Macaca mulatta: one gene and its partner. The main gene of each other region encodes a partner of the protein of the gene in region 2 in a complex. Links are inferred from orthologs where the notes say so. Each region holds a gene or a part of one and is shown on either strand. Other genes may lie near its edges.

Region 1 (3,746 bases), about 47 Mb from region 2:
TGGGAGTTGGTTGTGTCCACTTGGTGTAATCGAGGCAACCCCTGTGTAGCAGGGCTGTCAGATGGAAGGGGGCCCCATCCACCCAGCCGGGACTGTGACCACACCCAGCTGCCCTTTACACCTGGCGGCCACAGCGGGCCCCTCATCCTTATCTCTGGCATCAGTGCCGCCTCCTGTACATCGACTAAGCACCGCAGGGCCCCGCCCCCCCCTTGTCTTCATTAGGAAACAGTCAAGGGCTCAGGGGAAGCCCGGACAGACTCTCAGCTCCTGCAGGGGGGTGGGGGGTGGCGTGTGGTCAGTGTTTCCGGAAGGGGCAGTGGGGAGGGTGTGGAGGGGCCAGGGAGGCTCAGGCGGGCAGGAAGAGGGGAGGGCAGAGGTGTCACCTGGGGTGCCAGGAGTCCACTCTGGCATGAGGACTCCGGACCCTCTGTCTTGTGTGGCCTCAGACCAGTGGCTTGACCCCTCAGAGCCTGTGGCGTATGGAGCGTGCAGGGCTTGCAGGCGACCATGAGGGTACAGTGCAGGGTTGGGACACTGAGCCCAGCCCCAGCCACGAGAGGCCAGAAGCTTCGGTGCACAGGCCTGGAGAGGAATGACTCCACTCCCCGCCTCACGACAGCCCCTTCCTCGCCCTGACCCCAGCCAGTGGCCTCTCCCTAGAGCTGGGGGCTTGCGGGGGCCAATGAAAAGAGCAGGGCAAGTGTCAAGACTCACCTCACCCCCTCTGTTGGGCACCAGGGCTCCCCAGGAGCTCCCAGCTGCCCCCCACAGCCCCGCCTTAGCCTTGGTCACTAAGGCCCTGTCCAGCCCCACCCTGAGAAGCTGGCTTGTCTCTGGGGCAGGCAGGCAGGGGTGTCCCTAGGACACAGTGAGGAGAGTCTCTTCCTGCAGAACCTGCCATCAGGCAGGCAGGGAGGTACTCCCGGGCGAACACCCAGGTTCTGAGCCTCAAGGGTTGGCCTTAGGAATTTTGCCTGAGGTAGAGCTTAGGGGAGGAGCCAAGCAAGGGCAGCCTGGGCTAGGGAGGCAGGTTTCAGACACCCCAACACCAACGGCTTCTCTCCAACACCCTAGCTCTGCCCCTGCCCTGCCCCAGCCCCATGGCGCCCGTGAGCCATTCTCTAGTCCTTTCTGCCCTGTGCCTCGGTGCCTGTGGCCTGAGCCCCCTGGTTAATCCCTGTACTCAGTCTAACTTGGGCCAAATGACTGCCCCCCTTCTGGCAGTGGGCCGGACCCGCCGGCCAGCGGGAGCCCCCTTGGCAGAGGCCGGTTGTAAAGGATCATAAAGTGGGCGGCGTCTGGCTGGGGCGAAGGTCGCTGAGGTAGGAACTGCGCCAGTCCTGGACGCCAAACCCACTCGGACCCTCCCGCCAGGTGACAGCCGCCAAGATGGGGTCTTGGGCCCTGCTGTGGCCTCCCCTGCTGCTCACGGGGCTGCTTGGCCGACCCCCGGGGACCGTGGCCCAGGTCCAGTGTACGTGCGGGCAGGGGTAGGTAGGTGGGGGCACAGGGCAGGGGGAGCCAGGGGCTGGGAGGCGCTGACCCCTCCTCTGCAACCTTACAGACTGCTCTGTGAACAAGTCCTTCTTTGAAGTCGAGGAGAACACAAATGTCACCGAGCCGCTGGTGGACATCCATGTCCCAGAGGGCCAGGAGGTGACCCTCGGACCCTTGTCCACCCCCTTCGCATTTCGGATCCAGGGAAACCAGCTGTTTCTCAACGTGTCTCCTGATTACGAGGTGTGGGCGGCAGGTGGGTGGGGAGTGGGGGCTCCCAGGAGAAGGGCGCCTGGATCCTCAGGCCACACCTTCCCCGGGGGGCCCAGGAGTTCTATGCCTGCAGGCATCCACTAACACCCATGCTTGGTGGTGCCTGCCCCAGAAGGCTGGGCCCACACCCTCAGCACTGACCACTGATGATGGGGACCCTGGGCCAGCGCCTGCCCCCTTGGCCTCAGTCTCACCACCTGTGGGGCGGGACAGTGACTGCAGACCCGTCTGCCTCCACAGGAGAACTCACTACTTGAGGCTCAGCTGCTGTGTCAGAGCGGAGGCACACCGGTGAGTCCCTGCCCCACTCTCCCCGCCCACCAGGCCACCTCAGCTGGGCTCTGCCCTGCCGGTCCAGGGCCAGTCTCTGATGACCTCACCTAGGGTGTGGTTTCACATGCCATCCCTCCGAGAGTGATGCTCACATTTCCTCCAGTCCAGACTCTGCCCTGAACTGTGGCATCCCCGTCACTGATCCCTTGTCCAGCAGATACCCCCACCCAGTGTGCCCGACTCCCACCCACTCCCTCAACCACCACTGCCCCCACAAGGGAGGCACCTTTATCCTGCCAGCCACTGGAACCACTTTGGTTTCCACTCGCCCTCCCTCCCCACGTCCCCCGCTAAGCTCCCCATTGGTAAATCACTTGGCTCTGCCCCAGCTCGACCCAGAAATCCATCGTCTGCCCACCTCCAGTCCCACCAGGGCCGGGACACCAGCACTCATTTTGGGAAACTTTCAGCCGGCCCGCTGGCTTCCCTGTTGCCCCTTGCCGGTCCCAGTCCACTCCATGTGGCGGAACAGCCTCTGTGGACGCTGTAAACCAAGGCTGCCCAGTCCACCCCAGCCCTCCACAGCTCCTTTCTCACTGAGAGTCAAACCCAGATGTACTGTGCGGAGGCTCTGCTGCAGCCTCAGAGCTCCCGCAGGCACGCTCCTCCCCCACCTGCTCAGGTCTGCAGTCTTCAGAGAAATCCCAACCGCCCTATTAGGGAATAGTTGCATCCCAGCCCCGCTCCCCCAACATCCTACTTCTTGACCAGCGGCATTTTTTTCGGCTTTATTAAGGAAAATTGCAGAATCCTGAGGCCAGCACAGGCCCCCGCCCCCCCCCCCACCTACCAGCAGACAGAGGGCTCTGTGCCCACCGCACACCACAGCACATCACCCACATATATCTTGGCATGTGTCTCTGAAAGAGAGGGATGCTTCTTTTTTTTGAGACAGAGTCTCGCTCTGTTACCTAGGTTGGAGTGCAATGGCGAGATCTCGGCTCACTGCAACCTCCGCCTCCCGGGTTCAAGTGATTCTCCTGCCTCAGCCTCCCGAGTAGCTGGGATTATAGGCGCCCACCACCACGCTTGGCTAATTTTTGTATTTTTGGTAGAGACAGGATTTCACCATGTTGGTCAGGCTGATCTCAAACTCCTGACCTGGTGATCTGCCCGCCCCAGCCTCCCAAAGTGCTGGGATTTCAGGCATGAGTCACTGTGCCTGGCCGGGATCCTTCTTTTTTTTTTTTTTTTTTGAGACGGAGTCTGGCTCTGTCGCCCAGGCTGGAGTGCAGTGGCCGGATCTCAGCTCACTGCAAGCTCCGCCCCCCAGGTTTATGCCATTCTCCTGCCTCAGCCTCCCGAGTAGCTGGGACTACAGGTGCCCGCCGCCTCGCCCAGCTAGTTTTTTGTATTTTTTAGTAGAGACGGGGTTTCACCGTGTTCGCCAGGATGGTCTCGATCTCCTGACCTCGTGATCCGCCCGACTCGGCCTCCCAAAGTGCTGGGATTACAGGCTTGAGCCACCGCGCCCGGCCTTTTTTTTTTTTTTAGATGGAGTCACCCTCTGTCGCCCGGGCTGGAATGCAGTGGCACGATTTCCGCTCACTACAACCTCTGCCTCCCAGGTTCAAACGATTCTCCTGCCTTGGCCTCCACCCACCTCGGCCTCCCAAAGTGCTGGGATTACAGATGCCTGC
Region 2 (3,646 bases):
TCTAGAGGCCATGGAGTAAGGACCAGTAAGAGTAGCATCCAGGGGAGCTGATGCAACCTGTCTGCTTGGCTCTAACCCACTTGATCTCCTTGGGCAATATGTATCAAATCAGTTCACAACCCTGCCCCAAGCCCTCCCAAGAGTCCCCATCCACTACTGAGCTCATTGGCCTGACCCCCAAGGCCTTTCATGAGCTTCTCTATCTTCCTTTTCAGCCTCATCTCTCACTCCTCACCACCCTCCTCACACTGCCTAGCTTTAACCTCAAAAAAATGCCAGGCTTTCTTGCCTTGAGGCCTTTACATGTGCTCTTTCCTTCTTCCGCTTTACCTCCCAGGTCTTAGGTTGGGCATCACTGCCTTCTGGAAGCCTCCCTTGAGCTTTCCTCTCCTCCACCCCTCTTCCTTATTATAGCACCTGTGCTTCCTCCATCTCCACCCTGATGGTGTGGCGGGTGCCTACTTTTCTTTGTTTCCCACCAGACTGTCTTGAGAAGGGAGACTACAGCTGTCTATCTAGCAGGGGCTCCCAGTGCCCTGCATAGTGCCTTGGCATATAGTAGGTGCTCAATAAGCATGTGTTGAATGAATAAATGAATGATTAAATAGTATGGTGAGCACATGGGACAGTGCCTGTGGACAGATCTGGCCCTGAAAACCCCCCTATGGCAGGTGCTGATGTGGCAGGCACAAGTGTCAAGCCAACACAGGCGTTTGTTTCCATGACTTGGGGCCTGCTGGTGGCTGGGCCGACTGTGTGGGCGTGTGGTCACTCACACTTCCTGCTGCAGCACTGATGACACTTTGCCAGGGGCATGCAGGGAGGAAGAGGGTGGGTGGTACAAGGGTGAGAGGTGGGCCAGATGAAGCCAACCAAACAACAACCCCCTGGCCTTTGAGGCTGGGACAACCCTGGCTTTGATGTCGCTTACGACATTTACGGTCCAGTTCTTCAGAGGCTCCTTATGTTGGGGGCTTTTTGCCTTCCCTGGGCTCTGATCAGGAACTAACAGTGGGAACTTCGTGATGCCTTGAAGAATCTGAGAAATCTGAACTCCGTCTTGAATCTTGACCCTGACTCAAAGTTTTGCTGAGACTAACTGAGATTGCTAAGATCCCAGGTTTGTAGCTTCACCCAAATTTTCTTGTACTCTGGACTATCAATAACCATAGTTAATGTCTACTGAACATGCACGATGTGCCTGCCTCTCTTGCCATTCTTAACTTAGAATGTGTTCATATATTAACTTATTTGATTCGAATAGGTAGCTGCCGTTAACATTCCTATTTTTGGACAGGGATGCCCAGGCTCAGATAGATGAAGTAGCATGTGTTCAAAGTCATCTAGCTAGTAAGTGGCAGAGCCAGGATTCAAACCCAGGCAGTCCGACTCCCTGCTACTCCAACTTGCCATATTTATGTTCCCTGCACTTACAATGCCCTTGCTCCCATCCTCCACGTGTTGCCACCCCTCAAGGCTCAGCTCGTAAGCCCTCTACTCCACAGAGGTGTCTTCAACCTTCAGTTAGAATGAATCCCTCCCATAGCACATGGCTTATGCATATTTTATAGCAGAAGCTTGCCTGGGCAGCAGCTCATCCTTCAGATGGCAAAGTCCTGGAAAGCACAGGCATGTCAATCTCCTCCATATCCTCTTCAGCACTGCTCCCCTTTTCCCCTCACAGAGAGAGGCCCCAGGCAGGTACTTAATCAATGTGGAATCAAATTTGTTGAGGAAAAGCCTGCTCATCTTGATGGAGGCCACTTACAGAGAAAAATGTGCAAGGCTAACTCAGCCCTAGAAACCAGCTCCTGGCTGGGCTCTGGGGGAAGATGTCCCCAGAACAGGCAGATTTCTTCCTATCGAAGCTGCAGGGCTCACAATCCCAACCAGAGGTCCGGAAAGGGTCCCTCTGAGAGTCTCCCGCTGGAAGCTGCAGCCTTGCTGGCATCTGGCACTTTCTTCACTCCCACCTTCCTTGTAAGCTCTCCTGAGTGCTCTGAGATACTTGTCCCATTCTCCATGCAGGAACTCAAATCCATGCAGGGACGGTTAATAAAAACCACTGGTCAGGTGCTATTGACTATGCCCTCCCTCAGCAACCCTGCTACCGTCAGCTGACATGAGATGCTTTTGCACTGACTTAAGCCTGGCCTCATGGCTACGGGAGCGGAATAATATTTTGCTTTTCCCTTCATGGGATCCAAGCTCCGTGTCTTCCTCAGAGATTGCATGTTTCAAAATAGTCTTTGGATTATGAATAATTAATAAGAAATATGTCTTTTTCAGAAAGACATTGTTCATCTTCCTAACATCCAAGAAAAACATTCCTATTCTTTTAATAGTAAATTATTTCTAGGAACTCTCTCTTCATTTTTTTCTATAGCGGGAAATTGGCCAGAAATTTCTGGGTGTTACACTTCAAGCAGTGCAGTTGGCCAGTACCGTAGAAAACGGCACTGGAGTGTCCTAACACTGCATTTGATGGTACAGCGTTACCCGTGCCCTGCTTCCTCCTCCCCTCCCTTTTCTCCTGCTAGATCAGGAGTCATTTCCCATATTCAAGGCTTTCTGGGATACTATCAGGAAATGACTGGATGTGACAGAGTGCTGGCTATTCATTAACATAGCCTTCCAAGTCCTGCATTGAAAGTTACCAGCCTACACTAGCAAAGAAGAGCCAAGAGAGAGCAATGAATATCAAATGGACACACTGTTGCTTACCCCAAAGGTCCCAGGCCATTCATCATACAATACAGCACTTCAAAATCAGTGGGAACCATATACATGCAGGATGTCCACACATGCACACGGAGGGGACATTCCTGGAAAATGGGGTGAGATGATGTTTCTTTCTGTCTCCACTCCCAGGAGCAGTGGAGGACATGGGAAACAGCAGTTCTCCCCACTCTTCCTACTTCCAAACATAGCATGCAGAACAGGGAGAGTACCTTTGGGGTGGGTGGGAAGCTCCGTTCAGGGACAGGGGAGTTGGTGGGCTTCCCACTGTGGTTCTTTGCCTCCCAGTCCTCCACTGGATTGCCTGTGTCCCCAGTGCGGAAGGGGTGGTTGCCCAGTGCTTCTTCCAGTGCCGAGGGCAGTGGGCGGGTGGGAGTGAGGTCTTGGGTGGGAATGGATGGAGGGGGAGGGATGGGAATGGGGGGTGGAGTGCGCTGCACCCATGGGGAAGACGAGGCACTCACATGGCCAGATGAGGGAAGGACAGGGGGCGCTGGGACCTTGTGGGGTGGGTTGGAGGGTAGAGGGTGGGGCATCACAGGCAAGGCAGAGGAAGTCTTGGGGGGATAGTAGAACATGTCCAAAGGGATGTCGTCCAGGTCAGTGGTGTGCAGGTGCAGTCCGCCTGCGAAGCGTCTCAAGGGTGGGGCCAGGGGAGACACAGAAGGCAGAGGAGGTGGGGGCCCTGTGGTCATCTGGGGGGATTGCAAGGAAGTTCTGTAATTGTGACTCTGATTAGCGCTCCACTTCGCAATACATCGAGCACTATGCTCTTCTACTCTGTTTCTCTTGCTACTGGAGACCCACTACCCTTAAACCAGAACAATGGGGTGCCAGTCCTCTGCCACCTGGATGCCCAGCTGAGCCCATACTAGGCTGCTGGTAGAGAGTACCCAAATGCAGGAGA

The links. Proteins that work in one complex are often made in the same cells at the same time.
Region 1: USH1C (region 2) and CDHR5 share a complex: the UniProt entries of both Homo sapiens proteins name them as parts of the IMAC/intermicrovillar adhesion complex. The link is inferred for Macaca mulatta from reciprocal best matches to the Homo sapiens genes USH1C and CDHR5.

The regions. Positions count from the first base shown.
Region 1 is NC_133419.1:517,623-521,368, reverse strand, and holds the start of CDHR5 (cadherin-related family member 5), read left to right. Parts: upstream 1-1,304; 5' UTR 1,305-1,392; coding exon 1,393-1,477; intron 1,478-1,567; coding exon 1,568-1,743; exon of another isoform or gene 1,744-1,756; intron 1,757-2,013; coding exon 2,014-2,064; intron 2,065-3,746. UniProt on the Homo sapiens protein: Intermicrovillar adhesion molecule that forms, via its extracellular domain, calcium-dependent heterophilic complexes with CDHR2 on adjacent microvilli. Thereby, controls the packing of microvilli at the apical membrane of epithelial cells.
Region 2 is NC_133419.1:47,957,280-47,960,925, reverse strand, and holds part of USH1C (harmonin), read right to left. Parts: intron 3,435-3,646; coding exon 2,952-3,434; exon of another isoform or gene 2,826-2,951; coding exon of another isoform or gene 2,721-2,825; exon of another isoform or gene 2,695-2,720; intron 1-2,694. UniProt on the Homo sapiens protein: Anchoring/scaffolding protein that is a part of the functional network formed by USH1C, USH1G, CDH23 and MYO7A that mediates mechanotransduction in cochlear hair cells. Required for normal development and maintenance of cochlear hair cell bundles.